Linked DNA regions of Drosophila melanogaster. The protein of the gene in region 3 interacts with the protein of the main gene of each other region in a pairwise test. Each region holds a gene or a part of one and is shown on either strand. Other genes may lie near its edges.

The links. Proteins that work in one complex are often made in the same cells at the same time.
Region 1: the proteins of H2.0 (region 3) and aspr interact in a two-hybrid assay, tested with the Drosophila melanogaster proteins (one large-scale study listed by BioGRID).
Region 2: the proteins of H2.0 (region 3) and Polr3F interact in a two-hybrid assay, tested with the Drosophila melanogaster proteins (one large-scale study listed by BioGRID).

Annotation. Positions count from the first base shown.
Region 1 is NC_004354.4:20,146,441-20,155,390, reverse strand, and holds the start of aspr (asperous), read right to left. Parts: upstream 7,268-8,950; 5' UTR 7,133-7,267; coding exon 7,130-7,132; intron 5,330-7,129; coding exon 5,155-5,329; intron 4,794-5,154; coding exon 4,555-4,793; intron 4,447-4,554; coding exon 4,365-4,446; intron 1,194-4,364; coding exon 577-1,193; intron 293-576; coding exon 83-292; 3' UTR 1-82.
Region 2 is NT_033777.3:22,364,313-22,368,972, reverse strand, and holds Polr3F (RNA polymerase III subunit F), read left to right. Parts: upstream 1-1,599; 5' UTR 1,600-1,619; intron 1,620-1,694; 5' UTR 1,695-1,755; intron 1,756-1,813; exon of another isoform or gene 1,814-1,814; 5' UTR 1,815-1,818; coding exon 1,819-2,211; intron 2,212-2,269; coding exon 2,270-2,758; 3' UTR 2,759-2,893; downstream 2,894-4,660. Other genes in the region: CG5382 (uncharacterized protein), read left to right, coding at 3,160-3,261, 3,325-3,436, 3,504-3,697, 3,753-3,954, 4,016-4,305; CG7071 (uncharacterized protein), read right to left, coding at 4,466-4,660. UniProt on the Drosophila melanogaster protein: DNA-dependent RNA polymerase catalyzes the transcription of DNA into RNA using the four ribonucleoside triphosphates as substrates. Specific peripheric component of RNA polymerase III which synthesizes small RNAs, such as 5S rRNA and tRNAs.
Region 3 is NT_033779.5:6,012,070-6,022,315, forward strand, and holds H2.0 (homeodomain protein 2.0), read right to left. Parts: upstream 7,334-10,246; 5' UTR 7,125-7,333; coding exon 6,608-7,124; intron 2,028-6,607; coding exon 1,531-2,027; intron 1,429-1,530; coding exon 1,186-1,428; 3' UTR 990-1,185; downstream 1-989. Other genes in the region: CG9098 (uncharacterized protein), read right to left, coding at 1-42, 110-167; CG13996 (uncharacterized protein), read left to right, coding at 8,781-9,095, 9,148-9,603. UniProt on the Drosophila melanogaster protein: May play a role in pattern formation during embryonic and imaginal development. Is not essential for visceral muscle morphogenesis.

The DNA.
Region 1 (8,950 bases), on a different chromosome or scaffold from region 3:
TTGGGATGGGGATTGGCTGGGCGGATGGTGACTGGTTTGGCAGGCAGTGCGGCTCCGGGACTATACGACTCCCCATCCCGCCTCAGTGGTACTTGGCCACGGGAAAGGTGCGCGTCTGGCGACAGGACACCAGGGCGTCGCCCGACTGTCCCTGTGGACAGCGGCAGACAGCCAGGTGGGCCTTGGGCTCGCAGCTGGCTCCAGTGGCACACTTGCCGATGCAGGGATCGATGCACTGGTAGTTGATGCAGGCGCGATGGTCGGGGCACTCGTTGTTGCTCAGGCACTCACCCTGTGGACGAGGGTAAGTGGGTTAGTACAGTAGTTATGCCCCATTATAATGGAGAATGAAGAAGAAGAAGAACTCTATTTAAAATCGAAATACAGACAAAATTTCGACATATTTGCCGTTTCCGCTTAAGAGAGCGTTCGTCACTAGTTTGTCAACTCTTTTTTGGTATAATTAAAAAGTAGAAACAGTAGGAAGAACTCTATGATTGGGATCACCGGATCATCGTAGATAACACCGTTGTTGCCCAATCTGTATGATTGCCTATGATTTGGACAGTGACTCACCCGGGTGCAGTGGCTCAGCGGATTGCCGGTGTGGCCGGGCAGGCAGTTGCAGACGGGCCGCTCGCGGCCGGTGTTGTCGTGTCCGGGCACGCAGATGGCGTTGGTGCCGCACGGATTGGGGTCGCAAAGGTCCTCCTTGGTGAAGGGACGGCAGCGCACGAAGGGATCGCCGGTCATGTCGCGGGGGCAGCTGCAGACGGGTGTGAGGCCGCGCAGGTTGCAGTCGGCGCCGATGCCGCAGGCACCCTCGCAGGTGTTCTTGCAGATGCCGTAGAAGCAGGCGGGTCGCCCGGCCGGGCAGTCGGCATCGCCATAGCACTCCGGTCGGCACTCCGTGTACGGGCTGCCAATGTAGCCCTTGGGGCACTCGCAGACAGCCCGGTGATTGCTGACCGTTCGGCAGGTGGCGCCAGTGCCGCACTGCCCGCATGCCGGCACGCACTTGAAGTTGCTGGAGCACATGTCCCGGCTGCTGCAGTCGCCATCGTGATCGCACTCGTGGCGACAGCCGCTCAGCGGATTGCCCACATAGCCGTGAACGCATGAGCAGGTGGGCACGCCGTTGATGATCTCGCACTTGGTGTTAACGCCGCACGGACTGGGATGGCACTGCTCCTCTGCGGAATGGAATGAGAGATTAATGTTTGGAAATGGACGACACACAGCAGTGTCGTAGACTCGCCCACAAAGCTGTCTGCAACAGTATATTTTGAATGCGGCATGGCGATGATGGATTCATTTCCATCTGAGCAAGACTTTTCAGTAAGTAAGTGCTATATTGCCAAGTTCAAGTGTCGATTTAGTTGAGTCTATGAAAAGTTCAATCGGCCGACGAAGGAAGTTGTTTTCCACCCGACCTTTCACCTTTCACCTTTCACCATCGTTGGGGGTTGTGGCCCCTGTCAACATCCGCTGTTGCTGCCCCATTTTTGATTTATGCCGGGTCATGTGACTTGTGTTCCGGTCAAATCGGGAAAATACCTCCAATGGGGCCAATAATTGGGGGCCGGCCACTCAAAGTGGGCAAATAGAAAATCATATTCAAATAGCCGGGCTCATTTATGCGCATATTTTTGGTTTTTACCCCATATTTTCTTTTATTTTTGCACCAATTGTTGTTACTCGTCGTTCAAGATGATGATGATGATGATGGTGATGATGATGATGATGATGATGGTGGTGGTGCGGTGAGCAAGTCAAGAAATTAGTTTGCGTTGTTTTCCGTTCCGATGGCAAAAGTTTCGCCATTATCAGGCCTTTTCTCTTACATTTCCTTTTGACATAATTTGCGAGAAGCAGCAACTTTTCCGCGCCGGGAAAATGTATTGTAATGAAATGTGGAGTTCGGTTTTGAAAATCGATTGCAAAATGTCTTGCAACGAAAGTCGGAAATGCTCGTCGTCGACATTAAATCGATGTATTGGTAGATTTTCTTCGAAATATATAGCTAACCAAATAGTTATTTTTTATTATCGGCGTGGCAAACGCATTGTGGACCTTTAAATGTTAGCAATTCATTTGTATTCCTGCACGAAATCTTTAAGGCAAATGTCCGTGAATGTTTTCAGTTGGTCTGCAACACGCCCAAAGGGAATCGCAACTGCTTCGGCTCCCCAGGAACATGAATGGAAAAGAATCCGGTGTCCTTGGGGCGGCAGCAGGGAACATCATGGAGCAGGGAATCCGAGCTACTTCCATTCCCCGCAGACTGTTCGTTTGCAATTATTGTTTCCAAGTCAGTTGCTAATTGGAAATGCAAATAAATATTGTATTTCAATGGGAATTGCACGCAAACGGAGGCCGGAGTAAAGGCAACACAGAAAGGGATTTAAGTGAAATCAAGAATATATGTATATCGGAGGACCAGTTAAGATGCAGAAATCGGAAAAGGGGCGAGAAATGCCAGGCCCTTGGACTCGACACGAATCCCGAATGAGCAACCAACGTAGAGATGCAATTTATTGACGCCGACTCTTGGACGGACAGCAATTGAAATTGGTTTTCAACTGACTTTATTTTAAAGAAATTCAAGCCAAAGATAATATTTAGCAGCTCAATATTGGCGTTAAAAGTTAAGGAATATAATAGATTCGTTGAGGTAGAAGACCCCCCCCCCCCCCCCACCCATCAAATAATTTCCTGGTTAGAAGTTCTAGTTAATTTGCCTTTTGAACATGTGCGTTTGTCCGTTCGTATAAAAGCCAGAATGTTGGTAATAAACAAGCAGGTCCTAGTGACATTTACACCGCTCAACTTTCACGGTCACAATTTAGAAAAAAGCTTTCAATTATGTGTTAATTTTAATATTTATAGTTAAGAAATTCCCAGCAGGAATTATTTCAACTAATGACGGAACCTGCGCTTAGCCACTATTTATGGCAAGTTCTGAATATGAAGTGTTTGGAAATGTTACTATTCCCATTTAGAACGCTTAAATATTTAAGCCGATCAAATTACGTTCAGTGTGCTTCAGTTTGTCGTTCTAAAGATGATATTTTTCAATCAGTTTCTTGCAGTGTAGCCCCCGGGTGGATCAAGTTGTCTTCTTCCAGCGAAATTCCCAAGCCACTCGGCCGACCTGTGCTACCTGAATGGTAGCTGGCCGACCTGCGCAGCTTATGACCATAATCGGATGTTGACTGGTGCCTAACCGGGGCCACCTTTCGGTTCCGTCGGATTCCAGCTCTACTAGGCTCGACTACGGACACTCGTTGGCCTTGAGAGCTCGCCCACTGCGTCCTTGATCTTGACAATTGCGAAGCGAAATGCTATGCTAATTACCATAAAATTACAAAGGCCCCAAGTGTTGGGCGTTGGCCGTTGGCTTTGGATTATTATTATTATTATTATAATTCTCATTATCATCGAGTGCAAAATGTTATGCAAGCAAGGTAAACCCACATGCTGTCCAGAGGCCCAGCCCCCTGTTTTTGTCAATACACTAGATTTGACCAAATTTGGCAATACCACTTGGATTTGCGACGTCATCTTGCCACTTATCTAGCACCTCATTGTGGAGAAGGGATTCGCGAGTGGGCTAATTAATCGATGTACCTATGTCAATCCATGTCTATATCTATGCATTTCCGGAACAATCAGTCGTATGTCCACTTTGCATTAATGCAAAAAAAAAATAATAATAATAAATAAAACATAATAAACAACATGAGTTGTTTACAAATTGTTTACAAATATGTCGCGATCTATGTGTTCATTTAGTTTGAAATTTTTCTATTAGACAAGGCATTGCATTATGCCAATTTTCAAGTGCATTCGTGTATTGCCAATAATTTTAACACTGCAAACACTCCGCTCCTCTTGGTTCATCTCATTGTTATGTAACTCAGTAAAGAAACCTGTTTGCCCTTGATTTAATTCAAGTGGTCAAGGCTTATTTCTCGGCTTGGTTTTCACATCCACACTATGTATGTACATACATGTATGATCACTTGCATCTTTTAGCTAATTAAAATTTTAACCAGCTGATGATTGTAATTCATATATTATTAGTACATAATCAATGTTAAGATGTGCGCGTTAAGAACTAAGAGCTTTTAATTGATTCGATCATCTACTAGTACATATATCTTTAAATTGTGCATTTCTCAGATTTCCCAATTAATTAATTTATTTAATCGTGAAACGAAATACACAATCGAAGCGGATTGATTTCAACAGCTCCCAGTTGAGCGAACGACTCTTATGACACCCGGCATTTTAATCGATTTTGAGCTCTGCCACGCCTACCCCGCGGCATGTGGGCGGTAGTGGAGTGGTCAGGCACTTACCCGGATCGTTGAGGTGGCAGGCGTGGTATGGGTCGCCATTGTAGCCGGCGGGGCAGCTGCACACGGCCACGTGGTTGCGGGCCTGGAAAGAGCAAGCGGAGGTGGCGTAGAGTGCCGATGGTCAGAATGCGAGGGAATGCGCCAGAAGTTGGCCGTGGAGGAGTGTTGGCGACATAAAAGTCCCACTTACGTCACAATTGGAGCCAATGCCACAGGCACCCACGCAGGGATTAACGCAGCGATTGTCCTTGCACTGCAGGTTGTCGCGACAGTCGACGTTGTCCAGGCACTCGCCGCGATTGCAGTGGGTGAGCGGATTACCGCTGAATCCGGGCGGGCACGAGCAGACGGGCCGTCCTCCGGAGGCCTCCTGGCACACGGCGTTCACGCCGCACGGGCTACCGCTGCATCCGCTCGCGTAGGACTGCGCTGTGTGGGCGAGAGGAGAGGAGAGAGGCACAGGCGGTGAGGTGATGCACTGGTGCGCAGGTGAACTTGTGTCTCAATCTAATCTCTAATGCTACGCTACTACGAGTATGGTATGTACATACATATGTATACTATACTATACTATACTATACTATACTATATACTATACTATATATATATAGGGGTTAGGGGTTAGGGGTTAGCTACTGCAGACACATTTGGGGCGCGGGGTCAATGGTCAAGGATCAAGGGTCAAGGGTCAGGGGTCAGGGTGCTGGCGGCGGTGCTCTCCTCCTATGTACATCGTGCTGGTGCGGTAAGACTACGAATACGGATACTGATAGGCAAGCTGTGTAAATACCACGTGTGTAGACCGGATCTCTATAGACAACCCGCTGCAGGGATCGCCCATCGCCGTAGGTGTAGTAAGTGCGGTACGTGCAGTTCACGCAGCGCTTCCCCAGCTTTTTACCTGCGGCCAGTTGGGGCAAGGACGCGATGGCCACCGCCACCAGGGCCACGACCAGGAGCTGCTGCTGCAAGAGAAGGATCAGCTGCGATTAGTGCTGCTATCACTTGAATTTAAATTCAATACGATACCGATCTAAGATGAATATAATATTTGAATATATTTGAATACTAACTTGAAGTAACTCCAAATGGAGTGCATTCACTAGTTCTCATTAGTAACGAAACTAAATAAAAGACAACGGTAATACAAAGATAAATGTCATATTCTGCGTCAATCGTAGAGCCAGTCGAATGAAATGAGTTTGAACTGGATTGGGATTCATTCACTAAAGTATTCGATATGAACAAACATCTCAATCGAGAAGCGAGTATCACGCCCCCTTTGCCGGTTTATGTGTCATAATCGCATTCGAGTTCTGAAAAAGCCCAATAAACATGACTAACTCGATGATCCGCTGTTTGGTAGCAAACATTGGCTTGGACTTGGACTCTCAGTGGTCAGTGGGATTCTGGTGGCACCATGTTTGGGCTAACTGGGCATGGAGATGAGACGAGACGAGACGAGACGATCGAGATGATGATATGGCTTCGCTCTCAAGGTGGCGATCATTGTTGGCGAATGACACATGGGTGATAAACTTGTTGTCCGCTTCTTTGGAAGCTCAATTCGGGCTAAAAACAATTATTCAAATATCGGCATACAATAAGAATATGCAAATGGGGGTCGGCTGCCTTTTCGAATTACTCTGAATGACCAATATGGTAGTCCATGTTCGTATCAACTAAGTTGTCGATCATCGCGTAAATGGCACGGATGGATCCACCGAGGGAGGAAATTGGATTTTTTTCTTAAATCACACATCTTGCAGGGTGATTTATAATCTGATTACATTGCGCAAGGGAAGTGAAGTGAATCAGAGCCATATTTGTTATATTATATATGTACATACATATGTACATTTAAATAATTGCTTTTGGAAGGGCGAGAACTAAATAGTCAACTATATAATCTGTTCAATCTTGAATTAGTTAAATAAAACGTAAAACCTGTCAGAGTTTAGATTAAATTAATGCTTTCTAAATTTAAATAATGAGCAAGAAAATGTTAAGTGCTCAACATAAGTAGGTAAAAAGGTAAACAATTCAAATCTATTGGACTTTTTACTCTTCTCGTAATGGCAATTAAAATAACAAGCTATGCTAAAGTGCTAGAAACTAATTGGTTTGTGTTTTTGGCTTTGTGCACAAACAAATGAATAATGGGCTTGATGTTTACTTGGGCAGCTTAAAAAGCGTTGAGTGATTGATCATCGCCAAAAAAAACAAAAAAATGGGCAGATAAAAGGCAGATCGAAGACACTCAAAAGAATAAACCGATCGTGGGCTTCAGAAACATTACGAGTATGTGGGAATATTTCTTGGTTCATTCGATGTATTTGCAAATCCATTCACCACTATTCATCTAGCCGGAAGTAAATAGCAAATAGCAAAGTTAAGTCCTTACATTGTGAAATGAATATTTTTTTTGTCGTGTTTGCTTTAAGTACATCAATATTCCATTCACGTATCATTTACTGAATGCATATTTTATGTATTGCCTTTGTGCGTAATTTTTTCACTTAAGTTTTCGCGGTGAAGAAAATAAACAGCAAATAAATGTGCAAGTTTAAATCTATATACTTATTCGTGATTCAGATTCTTTCCTTAAATCGAACCCATTTTTATTACTTTTATAAAATTGTTTATAAATTATCCATCGTTGATAGATTGCTTCAGTTTAGATGATTTAAAAAAAAAAAAGGATATATTCCTTAACACACGTTTATATATACATATTGATTTTGGTTATTCCCACTGCAACTCACCATTTTCGGGGTTCAGTTCTTAGAAAACACTAGCACTACAGCAGATAAAGAACGTAAAATAAAAAACAAAACAAAAAGTGTCAACTGATAAATGGTTGCGATTTCCCACTTGGCACGCTTCGCTTTCAACTGAGTCGGCTTCTAGACGAGCTTGGGCTATTTATAAGGCCGCAACTCTTAACTTGGCCGAGAAACAGCTGAGCGACGTTGGCGTCATCTCTCAGCTGCTCTGCTCTGCTCTGATCTGCTCACCTTCCCTTCCCGAATTCCCCTCTACCCCGCATCCACAACCCTTCCACTTACACAGAGAAAAAACTATAGTATAGCTTGATATTAAAGATTTGTAAAGTAAATTATCTCTCCTCAGGTAGTAGCATCCAATAGTTGTTGTAATTTTAACAAAATAAAGATCGGAATTTACCAAATTCATTAGTTTTATAACTAATTTACCATTATGTCTGCATAAGTTCAACTTGCTAAACTAGAAACATTTCGAGTAACGAAAGCAGTAGATCAAATTGATGAAGTAGTTAATTTAGTTATATATATTTGTTCAGCCTGTCAGTTGGAAAACTATTTTTCCCAATGCACCAGCATTCTGTCTCATAACTCTGTTTGACAAGCTTGTTTTGCTGTTTGTTGACTTTGTATATTGTGCTGCTCGATTTTAGCTAAAATCATTTCAGTCCAAATCGCTTCTCAGACTGAGTCATTCGTACACACATACATATACATATATATACATATATTTGCCTGGGCATCGGGCTATTTATATACGCGTACTTGACGCGACTTTGCTTCGGATTGTTTTGGTCATGCCTTTGCTATGATGGCTCGATTTCTGCGTGGGCCGCTGCATCCAAGTGCCGTGGGTCGAACTTGGCTGGGCTTCCTACTAAACACGGCTCCGGATCGTAGGCAACTTGGCTGTGAACGAAGAAATTGCCCACTTGACACAATGGGCAGGTCGCTAGTACTAGGCGGTACCTGGTAATATATGTACACACATATTTCTGAAAGCATCCAAAACTAAGCGACTCTTTATCTTTGTAGGATTTAAAAGACAGTTATGTCATTTAAATTTACAAATCTATTATACTATAATTTATACCGATTCTTCAAACAGAATGTATCTTATCCGCACCGGATGCCTATTACTACTAACTGGGGGAAATATTCAATATGGTCATTTCGCTAAGGTTTTTTCTTCTTTCTATTTCTTCTTAATTGGGCATAAGATATATGTAGATAATCGCATTACAAAATTTAATTAATTTCACGAATTTACATATTTTTCAATCTGAAATATGTCGGAAATTGAGGAGAACAAAAAATCGCCCATTTCCGTTCAAATAGTAAGCGAAAAGAGAATATACATAAATGAAAGAAAATAAAATTTGAAAAAAAAAAAAAACTGAGAGGCCGTAAATATTCTTGATTAGCTTGAGGTATTCCGATTCACTCATACCACACAATAAGCCAATTGGGTATTTCATTGAACATCTTCACTAACTCACTCTACCGTTTCCTAAGTCCATTTCAATGGCATTCGAGTTTAAAATATAAGCTTAGCAAGACCGGCTCCACTTTCATTCGATATCAAAAAGAACGGATTAAGAACAAACGAATCTGCACTGGAATCGAGCCAATTAAAACGAGAATCTTGACTTCTGCTGGCTGCGTGGGCATTGGTTAGAATGAATAATAGAGATGGTTTGACCTATAGCAATAAGATAATGACCATTTGCCAATTTGCAATCGACTACCATTTTCAAATGAAATGGCATCATTGAATGGCATCGCTTAAGCTCCGCAAATCGA
Region 2 (4,660 bases), on a different chromosome or scaffold from region 3:
ATAAAGATATTATCAAATGGAAAAGATAGAGGCTCAAATTATCATTCGATATTTAAGTATAAGTAAAGTGTTTAGCAGGATCAAGATATGCTATTGTGCCAACATACCCTAACTCCCTTCGCGTAAGGGGATGCGAAAAGTTTATCCAAAAAGGAAGCTCCGAAGTTAACTGGCGCAAAGCTCCGTTGCTAGGCTGGCCGGCAATCGGATAGAACAGAAGGTTCAACGATCCATTACGATTATTAATTTTTGCATATAAATTTGCATTGTACAGAAGTATGTGTATATATGATTATATGGACACGTGATGTCAGTATGTGTGTGCGTGGTAAACAAAAAACCGATCATCAGCTGTTAGACGGCGCTTATCAGCTGGCAATACAGAAAAAAAGCAACGCGGAAAAGAGCCCACTGTCCAACTGTCCCACTTCCACCTAGAATTCCACTGTGCTGACCTTGACAACCTAATCTCCTCCACAGAAAACAGCTTCGTCTCGCTCGCACTGCCATTATGCAAGTGCGTGAGCATCTACTTTCCTTTTATCTTCCGCTCTCTCTTTCGCTCATCGTGAGTGACACGCGCAGAAACCGTGCAAGTAAAGCTCGCCGGCCTGCAGCTTTTGTCGCCGGAAAACGCACGAGAAAAGTTCTGAAAGTGAAAGTGCTTTTCCAGGCTTCAGTCAATATGTAATGAGTACTATGTGCCGTACTATTTAACCTTGAACTTGTGGATAAAGGACGTTAGCGCCGTTAACATTTTGAAGCTCGGGTCTGCAACAACAAATGCTTATCACTGAGACGCCGAAACAGCAACAAAATTTCAAATATAATTCAGACAATCCGGCACAGAGCAAATTTATGCAAAATTACTCATCATCGCTGAAAGCGTCGTCGTCACAGAGCAATTAAACAATTGCGATAGTGGAAGTTTACAGCGGTTCAAGATTATTATTGCTGCATTATTTCCGATGGCATGTTTAATAGGGTGTGATTGCGATGGTGTAGGTTATTTTACTTGTGGCGCGCTCCGCATGGAATGACTTCTATTTCACCTTTACACATTTCGCTAACGAGGTTCTTTTGAGATTGTATGGGTGTGCGAATTGAATTCGCAGCCGTGCTTGTGTGTATGTGTTTTGTGAGGCGGCAAACGCAATTCTACATAATGTGGAGAAATTGCTTGCATCATCAACAACAGCAAAAACAAATGTCTTGCCCCCGCCAATTTCGTTAGCAAAATTTCTAGCGTATTATAATGGAATGATGTTTAGCTTGAGGTCGTATCAAGAAGATCTGATAATTACCTGTTTTTGACAGTAAAGGTGAACTCGCGGAAAGATGTATTTGCTCTTCCTGTTTTGGAATTATTTTAATTCAATTTAAATGCACAGGCAGCGAACACTCCAATCAGAAACAGTGCGTCCGGCGATCTGTTCGAAAAAACAGTTGGCACCAATGAGCCTAAAAAAGCCACTCGTTTTTAAAATAAATACCATTTGGTATATACATACCAGATTCACGATATAACATTTGGGGTCTTCGGAAAGCTTTAAATTTTATTTAAAGCAATTTGTAATAAAGCCTAAAACATATGCTCCTTATTTATCCTCATTTATTCAGTTGCGTAAAGTATTATTTTTAATAGAACAAACTTATATTTTTAAAATTGGTTTGTGATTTTTGTTATTTTTTAGCTTCTTCTTAGCAGCGGTAGCCATTCGCCCGGAACCGTTTGTTTTTGTTTTGCTTTTCACGGTAAGCGTGTTGTTTTTCTCGATTTAATTGAATTTTAAATAACAAATTTTCGAGAATAGAAAAATGGCCACTGAGGTGTCGCAACTTTTGCTGGCGGTGGTCCAGGGCATCCCAGCCGGTGCCACCAACGATGACCTGACCAAGGCGCTGCCCGATGTGCCGGCGGCCACGCGGGTGGAAGCTTTGAATATACTGCTGCAGGAGGGCGGGATCGAGATCCTGAAGAAGGGTGAAAAGCTGGTGTACCGTGCCAAGGACCCGGAAAAGAAGAGTGCCCTGCCCAAGGATGCGGACAATGAGGAGAAGGTCGTCTACGGCATTGTTGAGGAGGGCGGCAACAAAGGCATCTGGATTAGGGATATACGTATGAAGTCCAACCTGAACATGATACAGCTCAACAAGATCCTCAAGAACCTAGAAACCAAGAAGCTCATCAAGGCGGTCAAGTCGGTGAACGTAGGTTCTATGATCCCATATTCCAAGTTCAATGTGATTCCAAATTTTCTTCGCGCAGGCCAGCAAAAAGAAAGTGTACATGCTGTACAACCTAGAGCCGGATCTCTCCATTACGGGAGGAGCCTGGTACCAGGATCAGGACTTTGAGGTGGAGTTTGTGGATGTGCTCAACCAGCAGTGCCTGCGCTTTCTGCAAATGAAACGCGACAGTGCGGAAAAGAAGCGCGAGGGGCCACTGGCCTTCAAGCAGATGTCTTGCTGCACGGTGAACGAGGTTCAGAAGTTCATCTCGGACTTGGGCATCAGCAAGGTTAATCTGGCGGAGGCCGATCTGGAAACAATTCTCAAAACAGTGGTGTACGACGGCAATGCGGAGCGAGTGCGCCAGCAGGATGGATCCTTCGTCTACCGGGCGGTGAACGCCCCACTTCCTCCGACTGGTCTGGTCCAGATGCCATGTGGCATTTGTCCCGTCATCAAAAACTGCTCCAATTGTGGCGATGTAACTGCTATAACTTGTGAATATATGCGAGATTGGTTGGATTAGGGATTAGCTCGAAAACTCTGGATTTTATTTTATATTAAGTATTACAAATTGAACTTATTGTTTATTAAGCTTTTTGTAGCACAAACATTATTAACTCTTAAATGTTATGGTTACCATAAAAAAAAGGAAAATTTGAAACCGATTTTTTAAATCGCAAACACATATCGTATTTCATCATTCATCGCTACGATATTCGCAGAATATGTCAGCTGGTTGCCAATCGCCCGGAACGCATGAACAGATACGTGGCTGTTGAATATGTGAATGAAAACTCGAAAATTCCGACAAAAGCTGCGAAACGAAATAAAATTTAATTTTATTGAGGCGTTATTATGCGATAGCTGTCCCAAGGCCGCCAAGTGCAATTCCTCCGCCGCCTTAGGAACCCCGAATTTAAGGAAATGGGTTTGTGCAAGTGCCCCAAGCGCCTGGTGACCAACCAGTTTTGCTTTGAGCATCGAGTCAATGTTTGCGAACACTGTATGGTTCAGTCTCATCCAAAGGTAAGGATTCCTGTCCTCTAGTTTTATGGATGCTTGGAATACACCATATCCACTCTTTTTCAGTGCATTGTGCAGTCGTATCTGCAGTGGCTGCGGGACAGCGACTACATCTCCAACTGCACTCTGTGCGGCACCACATTGGAGCAGGGCGATTGCGTGCGCCTCGTCTGCTACCGTAGGGATCTGCCAGTTTTGAGCTAATCCAGACACCACACACTTACCCATAATCCTGCCATTTCCAGATGTTTTCCACTGGGACTGCCTGAACGCCCGCCAAGCCGCACTGCCTGCCAACACAGCCCCTCGGGGTCACCAGTGCCCCGCCTGCAGTGTGGAGATCTTTCCCAACGCCAACCTGGTCTCCCCGGTGGCCGATGCTCTGAAGAGTTTCCTGTCGCAGGTTAACTGGGGCAGAAATGGCCTGGGACTCGCCCTGGTAAGCATTCCGGGCAGTAAGCTTGTAATCAATTTAAATGTTGAATCTTTCCCAGCTCTCTGAGGAGCAGAGCAGCAGTCTGAAGGCCATTAAGCCCAAGGTGGCAAGCCAGGCGGCTGTCAGCAACATGACCAAAGTGCACCACATCCATTCCGGTGGCGAGCGAGAGCGCACGAAGCCCAATGGCCATGACGCCGTGAGCCCACATTCCGTGCTCCTAATGGATGCATTTAATCCCCCAAGTGCGGGCGACTACGGTGCGCATAATCTAGCATACACTTTGAGTCATATTATAATTATAATCTTACGCACCTGCAGCCAGCAGCAGAAGACCGCTGCTGCCCCGTCAGTCGCCAATTGGTGGGACAGATCGAGACGATAATAAGTACCAGCGCCGCACTCCTGCGGAATTGTTCTCGCGATGGACACGCCGCTTCTATGCGCCCTCCTCGCGGCCGCCGTGGCGTCGCACTTGGTTCCTGGTGACCGCCGGCATTTTGGCCTTTGTCTTGTTCGTCTATCTTATGGCCTGGCTGGGTCGCGGAGGATCTGATGCCGTGGACGAGGGCTGGAATAACCCCAATCCACAGCCGAACCACTACGAATAGGGTGTGCATTCACGGTCGAAATAAGCATACGTAGCATATAATCGATATCCAAGTCCCCGATTCCGAAAGAATAAAACTTTTACAGCTATTTATATAACCTAACATTGCAAAGCGAAATAATACAACGACAAAGAACGATTTTTACTCGCAGATCATCTATCTAGTCAACATGGGGTTTCAATGTCTGGACTTGACTTCCCTCGGCGGGCGGGGTGCGCTTAGCCGGCGTCGATGGCTGCGGCTTACGTTTGGGCGCGTCCAAGACCTCATCGTACTCGTGCAGCTTCTTGGCCAGGAAGTACATCTCAGCCAGGGCTATGATGAGCGCTACAATCACGCCCAGCAAGATGCGAAA
Region 3 (10,246 bases):
GACGACGCACTGTGTTCGAGTACCGAAAGTTCCACAAAATGCCTACGAAGCGGTTACGAAATGTGTGATCATTATGATCAGAATCGGAAACCGTATTTTCGCCACTCACTGCTCCTCCGATTCGGCACTTGGCGGTTCTCCAGTTGTCGGGCTTGGGTGTTGCCCATGTTGCCCAGGCTATCTTTGCAAATCCAATGTGCAGATCTGAAAGATCTTTAAATTCTGGAGCAGTACCAAACACCTAAGCTGAAACTCAACCGCGCACTTCGCTTTGGGAAAAACAACTGAACGTGAGCAAATGTTGCCCAAACAGACTTCTTCAACTGAGCTGAAATTGCATATGTCATTCACCGACTGTTAAATACCCTAAAGGAATTACGCATATAATTATAAATCATATATGAACGTAAGATTGCAGCTAAAGTATGAGTAATATATATTTATTGTTTCTATTCTATTCTCTATTTAGTAATGTTCTTTAAATTCAGCTATAAATCGTTGTTATTTTTTTATAGTTTTCTATAATTTCAGCGGAGTCTTAAAGTAATTGAAAAAATGAACGAACTCAGCCAAAGAGACCGACAATGACAATAAAGCCCAAGTGAGTAAGATTTCAATGTCGTGCACCAACAATTTACCCTCACTGTTTTTCTAATTAGTGCTCTATATCCGCAGTGCCCCCTCCTCTCACTCCCCTGTCGCGATCCACCAACCGATCCGATCGTATTGGATAAACCCATTCGCACCCCCGCGCTTGACCAACTCACTCCAGTCGTATTTGCTCTGGCCATTCAGTCGCGTATCGTCTTTTATCGTTCACTTGATTAGAGAAGGTCTCCCCGTTGTCGCCGAGTTTCATATTCTGCTGATCGCAGCGGTATTTGCTTAATTAAAATTTCTGTTCTTGCCGCGTAGCATTGCGTATTTTTATAGCTTCATTCTATGGAATAGTGAATAATAAATTAATAATAAACCAAGCTGTGAATTCACAAGTTCATTTTACTAGAGAATTTATTTTAAATAGTTTACACATAAACGTTTAGATTATCTTACAGATTGAAATAATTTAAGTTCACTTTGTGCAGTATCTGTCTACTTTACATTACATTACAACTAGCAATGAAGGAATAAATACATCTACATGGCATTTTACACGTGTAAACGGAGCTATCTACATAGGCGGCTCTACTCCACCACATTGATTTCAATATTATCATCTTCGTCGGCCTGCTCGCTCAAATCCACACTGGAGCAGCTATCGGAACTGTAGTCGAGTGCCTCCTGGGGCGTACCATCACCGGATGGCGTGGATGTCTTGAAGACACCTCCGGATTCGGGTACTGCACTCGGCTGCTTCTCCTGGCCACTCTTCAGATTCTCGCGCGTGTGCCGCCACTTCATGCGACGGTTCTGGAACCACACCTTGACCTAATCAGGGTATAAAAATAATAATATATTGGTTTTTATAGAGCTATGAAAGGAGTCGAATGTGCAAATGTTAAACTATGAAAATCCCATCTTTTAACTAACCTGAGCGTCGGTGAGATTCAGTCGTGCCGCCAGCTTGCGGCGATCTGGCTTGGTGATGTACTTCTGCTGCTGGAACTGAATCTCCAGGCCCTTGCGCTGCAGATTCGAGAAGACGGCGCGAGACCAGGATCGCTTGCGCTTCCCATTGCTTCCGGCTGAGGCGTTGCCCTGGCCATTGCCACCTCCATGTCCATGTGCACCGTTCTGGGATGTGGCAGCGGCGGCGGCGGCGGGCGAGGTGGGCGCTATGTCCAGGAGCTGCTGCGGCGTCTTGCCCAGAAATCGCTGCTGCTGTTGCGTCAGCTGGAGGCTCGTGAGGCTGTGGAGCGGCGCCAGTAGCGCCGAGGCTGTCGTCGAGTTGTGTGGCGGGGGCTTGTGCTGCTGATGGAGGTGTTTGGGATGGTGCTGATGATGATGATGCTGCTGGTGCTGCTGCTTCTGATGTTGATGGAAGCGGAGGAGCGCATTGGTAGCCAGCGTGGGATAAGTGGGTGCGGCTGTTCGGGAATGGAATGTTAAAGTCAATTGGGAGATTCATACTTCCTTCATTAGCAATAACTCTTAATTTGTTGCTATACTGAATCCGGTGCGTTTTTTACGCACCAATTTGGATATTTATTTTTATAGGAAAACTACCATTAGTTATGGACAACATCCTCCCTTGGTAGCACATTGCATCCGCAGGAAATAATACATTTATCGCCGGCCAAAGAAATGATACTTGTTTCGCCAAAGAAAATATGAAATTCAATTTTTTGTGTTTTCTGAGTAAATTATTTTGATCAATAAAATGCATGTTGAGAATTTTTAAATGGGCTTGTTTATAATAAAATTTTCACTTAATTGGAAATTATCATTGAAGCGTTTTGTGGCTAGGGGGGGCAAACGAAATTTGTTTACTTCTAGCGCGAATCTAAACAACAACAATTACCTCTAGAGATCCAAAATTATTTGGGGTAATCGAACACGACATGGGGCACACGAGGTTGAGGTCGAACCAGGGTGCTTTACTTCCCTTAAATGTTTTTTAAATATCCAAGAATTTATACACGCAGTAAGAAACAATTCGAATGACGTTGACTTTCCTATTGTATTTCCAATCATTATTGGCATTTACTATCCTTTATCTAACTACTGAGTTTCAATCAAGATCATTACGGCATTTATCAACTCAAAGGACTCCGCTGAAAAGTATGCTACAAAAAGTTCCTTTGAATCCTCAGTTCACGATAATGTTCACTAATGTTGATATGAAATGTAATCCTGATGTTGTTAAAAGGCCACAATTTTAATTCCTATCCTTGACTTTTTCATTGAATTTTATTTGATTTCAAACTGCAAACCATTCCTCTTTGTTTGTAGCCAACGCTAAATTATCATAGGTATTTTTTATTGCCTTTTTAACGTTGTGCTATGTGGAATTCGATTTGTTTGTGTGCTCGCGGCATGCGCCTAATTGTTTTCGAGATCGAGCGTTTTATTTACTTAAGCAACACACTACTCGATCGATTGTGTGTATTTACACTGCAGCGGAAATGCGCTTCTGCACTTGTGGATACAATTGTATCTCAATCCGTGCGCTTGTGTATCTGCATCGGGAACGCCAATGGAATCTCAGCACATCTGCAGGGGCTAATAACGCCTTAATTGGCCGTTTTGGCATTTGGCTTGTGTCAACCATCGGGGGTTTGTTATAATGAGTTTTCACCGACTTTCAACACCTTGGATGTTGGCCGGGGCATTGGGGTTCACTCACAGCGCGAGATCATTAATTGCCGACTTTCCCGTTCAGATACATTTACAAAATACCGCCAGCGGACCCGTAAATATCTTAATGAGTTGTGATAATTTTTCGGATGCCATCTTAAATCACTCAAGGGTCTGGGTTGCAGATGCATCTCCAGTAGGATGTGTTTGCGAATCGTACATTTCGCAGCCATATTTAAGTTGCATCGATTTATTAGCACGATGCATTCCACATTTACGACTTGGCGAATATTGTGGCTTATTTCGCGGTAAATTGCGAATGATCTTTTGGGGTTAAGCAGAGCACTCCCAGTGGGCCATGTGCTATGGAAATTTCGACTACCAGCTCGACAAGCGGAGTATGTGTTTATTTGATTGATTTTAATATATTATACATATGTATCTACTTCCGAACATCCGAATCTCTGACTTTTACCAGCTAACTATGCACTAAGATATATTATCTGCATTATGTACTTTCAAAATATTTAAGTGAAATCAAAAGTATAGCTAATATTTCAATTGTATATTTCGTGAAATATCTTTAGCTACTTGGGATTGTCGTCAATTTTCACTCAATTCATTATAGTTAATCCTATAGTTGTGGTATCTACATACATATATCAGTCCCGTTAATTTGAGTTGAGTGCGTGGTAATTATTATTGCTACAACCCTCCCCTGCTGTTGGGAACTTGAGAAAGAGTCTTCAAAGTTCCAAAAGAAATCGTCTGAGGGCCATCATTAATCAGGGATCTTCGAACGCTTTGAAAGTGCATCTATCAGTTGGATTAACATATAAATTGCTAATTAATTAGACCCACGGCGCCGGATTATTGTTCAGACAGAATTTCCATATCAGACAATGGTCTGTAGCATCCAATCGATCGATGGATGGATCGATTGATCGGCAGCCAGAAGAGCAACAACAACAGATCAACAAACTACTCATCGCCAGGCGGGACAGGCAAACAGCAACAAATAGTCGACGGAGGAGCCGCAGAGATCTCGCTGGTCCATGATTTTATGATGTGCGATGCGATGCAATCAATCCATCACGGAATAATTCCGCAGGGGCCGGCAGGTTGGACACGGCGGGCAGCCACAGGGTAGCCTCCTCCTGAAAAGGCCACCACAGTGGGTGGTTGTGTAAATACTTGGCCTTTTGGCTCGGCCCCCAAAGAACAGCGCATAGTTTCACCCGTGCCCGTGCCCGTACCCATACCCGGTACAGTCATCCATCGGTCAGCAGTTCCCTGTCGTTGGCCTAAACGGCAGCCGAGCCTCATTGGAGTCGGTTGAGCCGCAGTAGTTGGAACCGTGGCGCCCAATCTATCAGAGATCCGCGTCTCTAGCCGGGCCAAAGATGCCTCCACCTGTCGAACTCCTCGGCCGGCGGAACAATTCATTAGAGAGCGGGCAATTAGATGGATAGCTATCTGTATCTGCCCATGAATGACGGGCCAATTGCCCAAGCAAATAAACAAACTGTTCGCCACAAACGTTTTCCACGATCCGTGTGAGCTTGAAGTTTATTTTTAAAGACTGACTCGTAATTTGTTCATAAATTGTTCTTAATTTTCCACTTTGGTCTTTGGCATCTCATCTATTTGCGGTGCCCAAAGGATTGATGAAGCCTTTCAGGTGCTGTCTGTTCTTCGTTTTTTTTTTACCGATCTTTTGTTGATTGAGCTATGTCGAATTTATTCGCCTTACTAATTGCTCCTCCCATTTTTGGCTGAGCAAATGTGTTTGAAAACCACTTAGCACTGATGATAATTTTCATTAATGTTCCATCATTGTGTGAAGTGTAATTTATTTAAGTTTGGCGCTAATTTTGCTACATAATTTAATCGTGTGCTGGAATTTGGCGGAATTTAAAGGGCTATTAGTATCGAATTTACGTTGGATGAATCAACCAAAGTCTTTTTTGAATATGTTTTAGTCGGCTGTTAAAAAATTGTATTTTGCTACTTGTAACTAGGTCTAAACTATAGTAAGCTTTAAGTTAAGCTCGCTAATACCATTTACACATCATTTTAGTATAGCTCCACATATTTGCGGGTCTCTTATTTTGAAATAAATTAATATCTCAGACATTTCCTAATCAATTTATCCATTGAGGAATCCCAAACCAAATATGTATCTCATTTATCCGCAAAAGATCTTTAAGATCGTTTAAGGCCCTCGCATTGTTAGCACCCACTTGATAAGAATTGTGTACAATATTGAATGGGAAAAGGCTGTGCTGACGATATGTATAAAACTCAAGCAGCTTGTTAAACAATGAACAATTTCTATTCGAAAAGCGAAACATTTACCGATTATGTTGCTCTCACTATTTCCATTTCCATTTCCATTTTCACATAAACAAGATCAAAGTGCGCTGGCAGCCTGCAGGCTTTATAAGAAGTCTTCGTCCCCAGATATACAAAAACAGCAGGAAGTACGGCAAATACCCAAAACAATCCGGACTATTTTGTTGTCGATTTCAAAAATCGAATTGTTTTCGTCAAGAGCCAAAGGCGCGGAACATTTGGCCGCAGGAATATTGCACAATATGGCTGCAGATCAACTAATAATTCAAATAAAAACGTGAAATTTATTGGGGCTGCGCCTTAGGTTCTCACTCTTTGTGTTTCCAGGAATGTTCATTTCCCATTTGGCTAAATTCCATTTCACGATTTTCTCTGCAAATCTCAACATGGCTAATAATTATAGTCCATAATTGAAAAACAGAGCGAAATAGCTAAGGAATTTTGATGGGCAAATGGCGAAGCCACCTCATCAACTCGTTTGATCGTTCCCTGAGATCCTGCATATTTCCATGGAAAGAATGCAGAATGATTGACAAATCGCAATATCTGATTAGCTTTGATCAGTTTTATTGGCGCTGCAAGTGCACACAACATACGGGGAGATTGAAATAGTGCAGATGATAGATCGTATCTACAAGATAGAGTCATGGGTATAAAATATTATTTTGATAAGTGGTACGTTGTTGGAACTAGAAGAGGTTCACTGCGAACGAATGATGTTTCAATAGCTTTCTGTATGGAGCTGATTCCTTTTAAGTTTAAAAGTATCTTAAAAATACACTTAGGTACCTATAATCCATGTAATACGGATCAGTACCAATATAGTTCATATTAATTTAAGGCATCCCTTACAGAGATTAAATGTTTTCCTTCTATCAACTCGGTTTGCTCATGATGTTCCAAATGCCGTGCACTTAATGGTAATTTTGAATGATTTACTTTCAAATGGACATTTTTTTTGTAAAACCTGCTCGGATTCAAAGGATGTTCCCTTTTGAGTATAGTGCATCCTTACCGTGTTCTGCTGCCCGAATTGGCGTCGGTCTGAGCACTGATTTGTAATCCATATAGGGGCCAGGGAACAGCTTATCCAGACCCACGAAGGGGTACGTGTGCGATGAAGTGGGTGTGAAAGTGGGCGGAAGCGTGGCATGTCCAAACCTACGGGATTCGGCATTCGCCTGGCTGAAGCAGTGGGGGAAGGAGCAGCAGGCTAGAATGCTGCCATCGCAGCATGACTTGGTCGAGGGCGAGGAGGAGCTCTGCCGGTGGGATTCCTCGGGTTCCGAGCCCAACAGACGATCCACACTGAAGCTCAGCTTGACTTTGGTGGTGCTCGTGGCGCTGGTTGGCGACGTACTGACTATGGTAGTCGAGGCACAGGATTCTTTGGTGGGCAGCTCATGATCGACATTCACTGGATCGGGACACTTTGCCAGCGTTGGATTCACTTCACACTCGCCGTACATGTGAGTGCTGAGGTTCTCGGGCATACTCTGTTCCATGCTGGCGGCACTCTCGTGTAGTAACATTGTCCGGATATGTGTTGTATATGGTTTCTATCTACGAATCTCGACACAGGACACTCAAAACTGATTTCACACGTTCACAATCGATAGGGACTATCTATCATGTCCAAAACACCGTCGCTGTGCACCAATAAAACGATCGCGAATTTTGGCTTAGGTCTCGTGCACCTCCGATTAAACCGCCTTGCAAGACATCCCACTCAGAACTGATCGGAACCGGCCAGGGAGCACGCTCAACCAGCCATCGATTGCCGATCGGCCAGCCAACGCGGAACAGTCTGTTGGCGGTGGGGTTAATCTCGCTGAGATTGTGTATTCCTGGTGCTGACAGTGGGGCAAGGAGTGCGAGATGATCAGGATATAATGCTAACAATAAATAATGGCTATATGTTCGATATACAGGATATACAAACCAGGATATTTTTTTATCCAACGTGTATATTGTTTATAAAGTAATACTCAAGAAGAGTAATACTATCAAGAAAGATTAGATTTTTGGGCTTCGGTTGGTGGTAACATTGGTTTCTATTCCGCTGAAGATCTATATACCTCTAGAAAGTGCCCTAAAATTATGTTAATCCACTTACCATAGACCTGATCCCACTGTAGCCACACACAGATGGGATACCTTGCCATGCCGATCGCTTGTTTACACACAAGCATGCCGCTGTGTCATTAGCTCAGTCGGAGATCGTTTCCTCGAGCGCAGCCGAGATTTGTTTACCGATTTCTCCATATGTTCCCGTACTCCCACACACAGACACACACACCCCATCCGAATTCCGGTTTCCCTGCGCAGAGGCCATGTCGAGTGGCTCGTGGTTCGTGATTTCTGGCCAATGCGATCGATCCGCAGTGGTGGGCGGAGCCACTGGTGGCGCTGATGCGGCATCTCGCTTTCGCGCCCAAGGAATGTGCCTTCCATTGGCTTGGGATTGAGCGATCTGCGCGAACTCCACCTGCTCCACGCTGTCTGGGTTCAATGAAGTGGGTAACCGGGACTGGTGGTCATAAATCAGAAACCGCATTCCACAAGCGGAAATCCGCAAAACGGAACACGAACGGATCGTCGGGGTTGGAAAACTTAAGTAGAAATGTGTAAATTGCGGAGCGAAACTGGCGTTATTAATAGGAAAATTGTCGTGACTACCTTAAGATAGCATACTTTCCGGCACAAAACTCCCATCCAAGCGGGCGGATTTGGTGCCAAAAACACCCTAGCACCACAAGCCCACAAAGTGACCCAGAAAATGTGGAATATGCAAATGCAATGGCAGCGGAAAATCCATCGCCAGTCGGTGACACTTTTATCCTCTTCAAAGTGAAGTCCGATTAATAATAAAATAATCCTTTTTACTTAAAAAAAAAGATTCAGATACATTCCAGGATATGCCGAACGTTCAAAGATACTGATTGGAAAGAGCATGGCTTAAATTCCATTAACCCATTTAAAGTGCAAATTGAGCCTTAGTGATTGTAGCCAACAACTTTTCCCGGAAAATTATAGGGCATACAACAAATGAAAGCGAAACGCAATCAAACTATGTAAACAGACACGAACGCCACTTATTCTTGAGGAATCGCTGGAAACCGCAACCAAATCGTTGCGGGGCAACTCAATTCACTTTGGCCCAGGAACAGTGCGCTGCCACCACTCGAATGGAGTCGTTCTCAGCGTCCAGGTGCTCCACCATACCGTCACCACTGCCGCACAGTGCCAGTGGCATGGACAGTCCGGATATCTGTGAGCCGCCGCAGGATGAGCAGGAGTTCTGCTTTCGCTATCCCAGCTACATGTTTCCGGACGTGGAGTACGACAAGGAGGATGTGCCGCTACCCTTCAAGGCCTCGCCGGACTCGCTCTTCAATCTCTGCGCCGCCGTCGTGGATTCCCAAGCCCGCACTGAGGTCTTCAAGTGGAGCATCAACGATGTGACCGACTGGCTGCGCAACTTTGGTTATCCCGAGTACGAGGTGGGCTAAGATTCTTACTCACTATGTTGGGTAACCTATAGCTTCGTTACAGCAAACTTTTCGGGAGAACTACATTGATGGACACAAGCTGCTGAATCTGGACGCAGTTGCTCTGGTTGCGCTCAACGTTCGCAACTTCGAGCACATCCGCCACCTGGGCCGCGGCATACGAGCGCTTTACAGGAAGGAGCTGCAAACGGCGACGGAGACCAAGCAGCAGAGTGAGGTCTATAAGACATTCCGGGCCCGCACTGGCCGAAGGTACGAGGGATTGCGGGAGACGGAGCTACTGGGCCGCATGCACATGATTCGCTCCGTTTTCCGCGACGTCAACGACTGGGATCTGATGGAGCTGCACATGTCCAGGGCGCCGGTGAGGCGGTATCGCGAGATCGTCGCTGGCTCCAGACGCTACAACCTCTATGGCCCATCGACAGCGCGCCGGGAACCCATCATTACGGACGATGTGGATGCCACACCGTGGTACAACTTCGAGGATTGCTACTGATTCACTTTCAACTTGAAATCGTGGTTAGCTTTTGGAGCAATAAAGTAACTTCTTTAGTGGACAATTAAATTTTAATTGAAGGAACGGTCAGCTTAAATCACTTTCTCTGCGCCATCGACGATAAGCACAAATTGGTGGCTCTCCAAGTCAAATCCTACGACTGCCCCACCTCATTGGATCACCGATGCTGCCCAATCAGTCGACACGGCGCATTGATCACTTATCGCTCTGAATTGTTGCTTTTGCTGTTGTTTTGTGGAGGGGTAGTGGGGGACTGGGAACTGGGGACTATAGGATCAGTGTTGTTACCGTCGAGAGCCGTCCGCATTCGCGTCCGCTCACGTGTTCAAATTTATTGATTGTTCTGCTCACAAGACACGGCGTTCCAGCTTTTCCTCCGCAATCCAGCGAACTGAGCTTCGCTCTGAGTTTTGAGATCTGGGCACGGCGTCCAGCTGTGCGGCATGGGAGACGTACGTGTGGTCGGCTTATGTTATATTTCCCGACATCTTGTGTGTCCGTCGATCGGTGGGTGAGCATAGCATAGACCGAGATTGAGTCCCCTGCTCAGAGCTATGTACGCCTAGATGCAACCTAAGACGCTGCCACGCCGTCACACACTGGCCATGCAAATTGCCTTTGG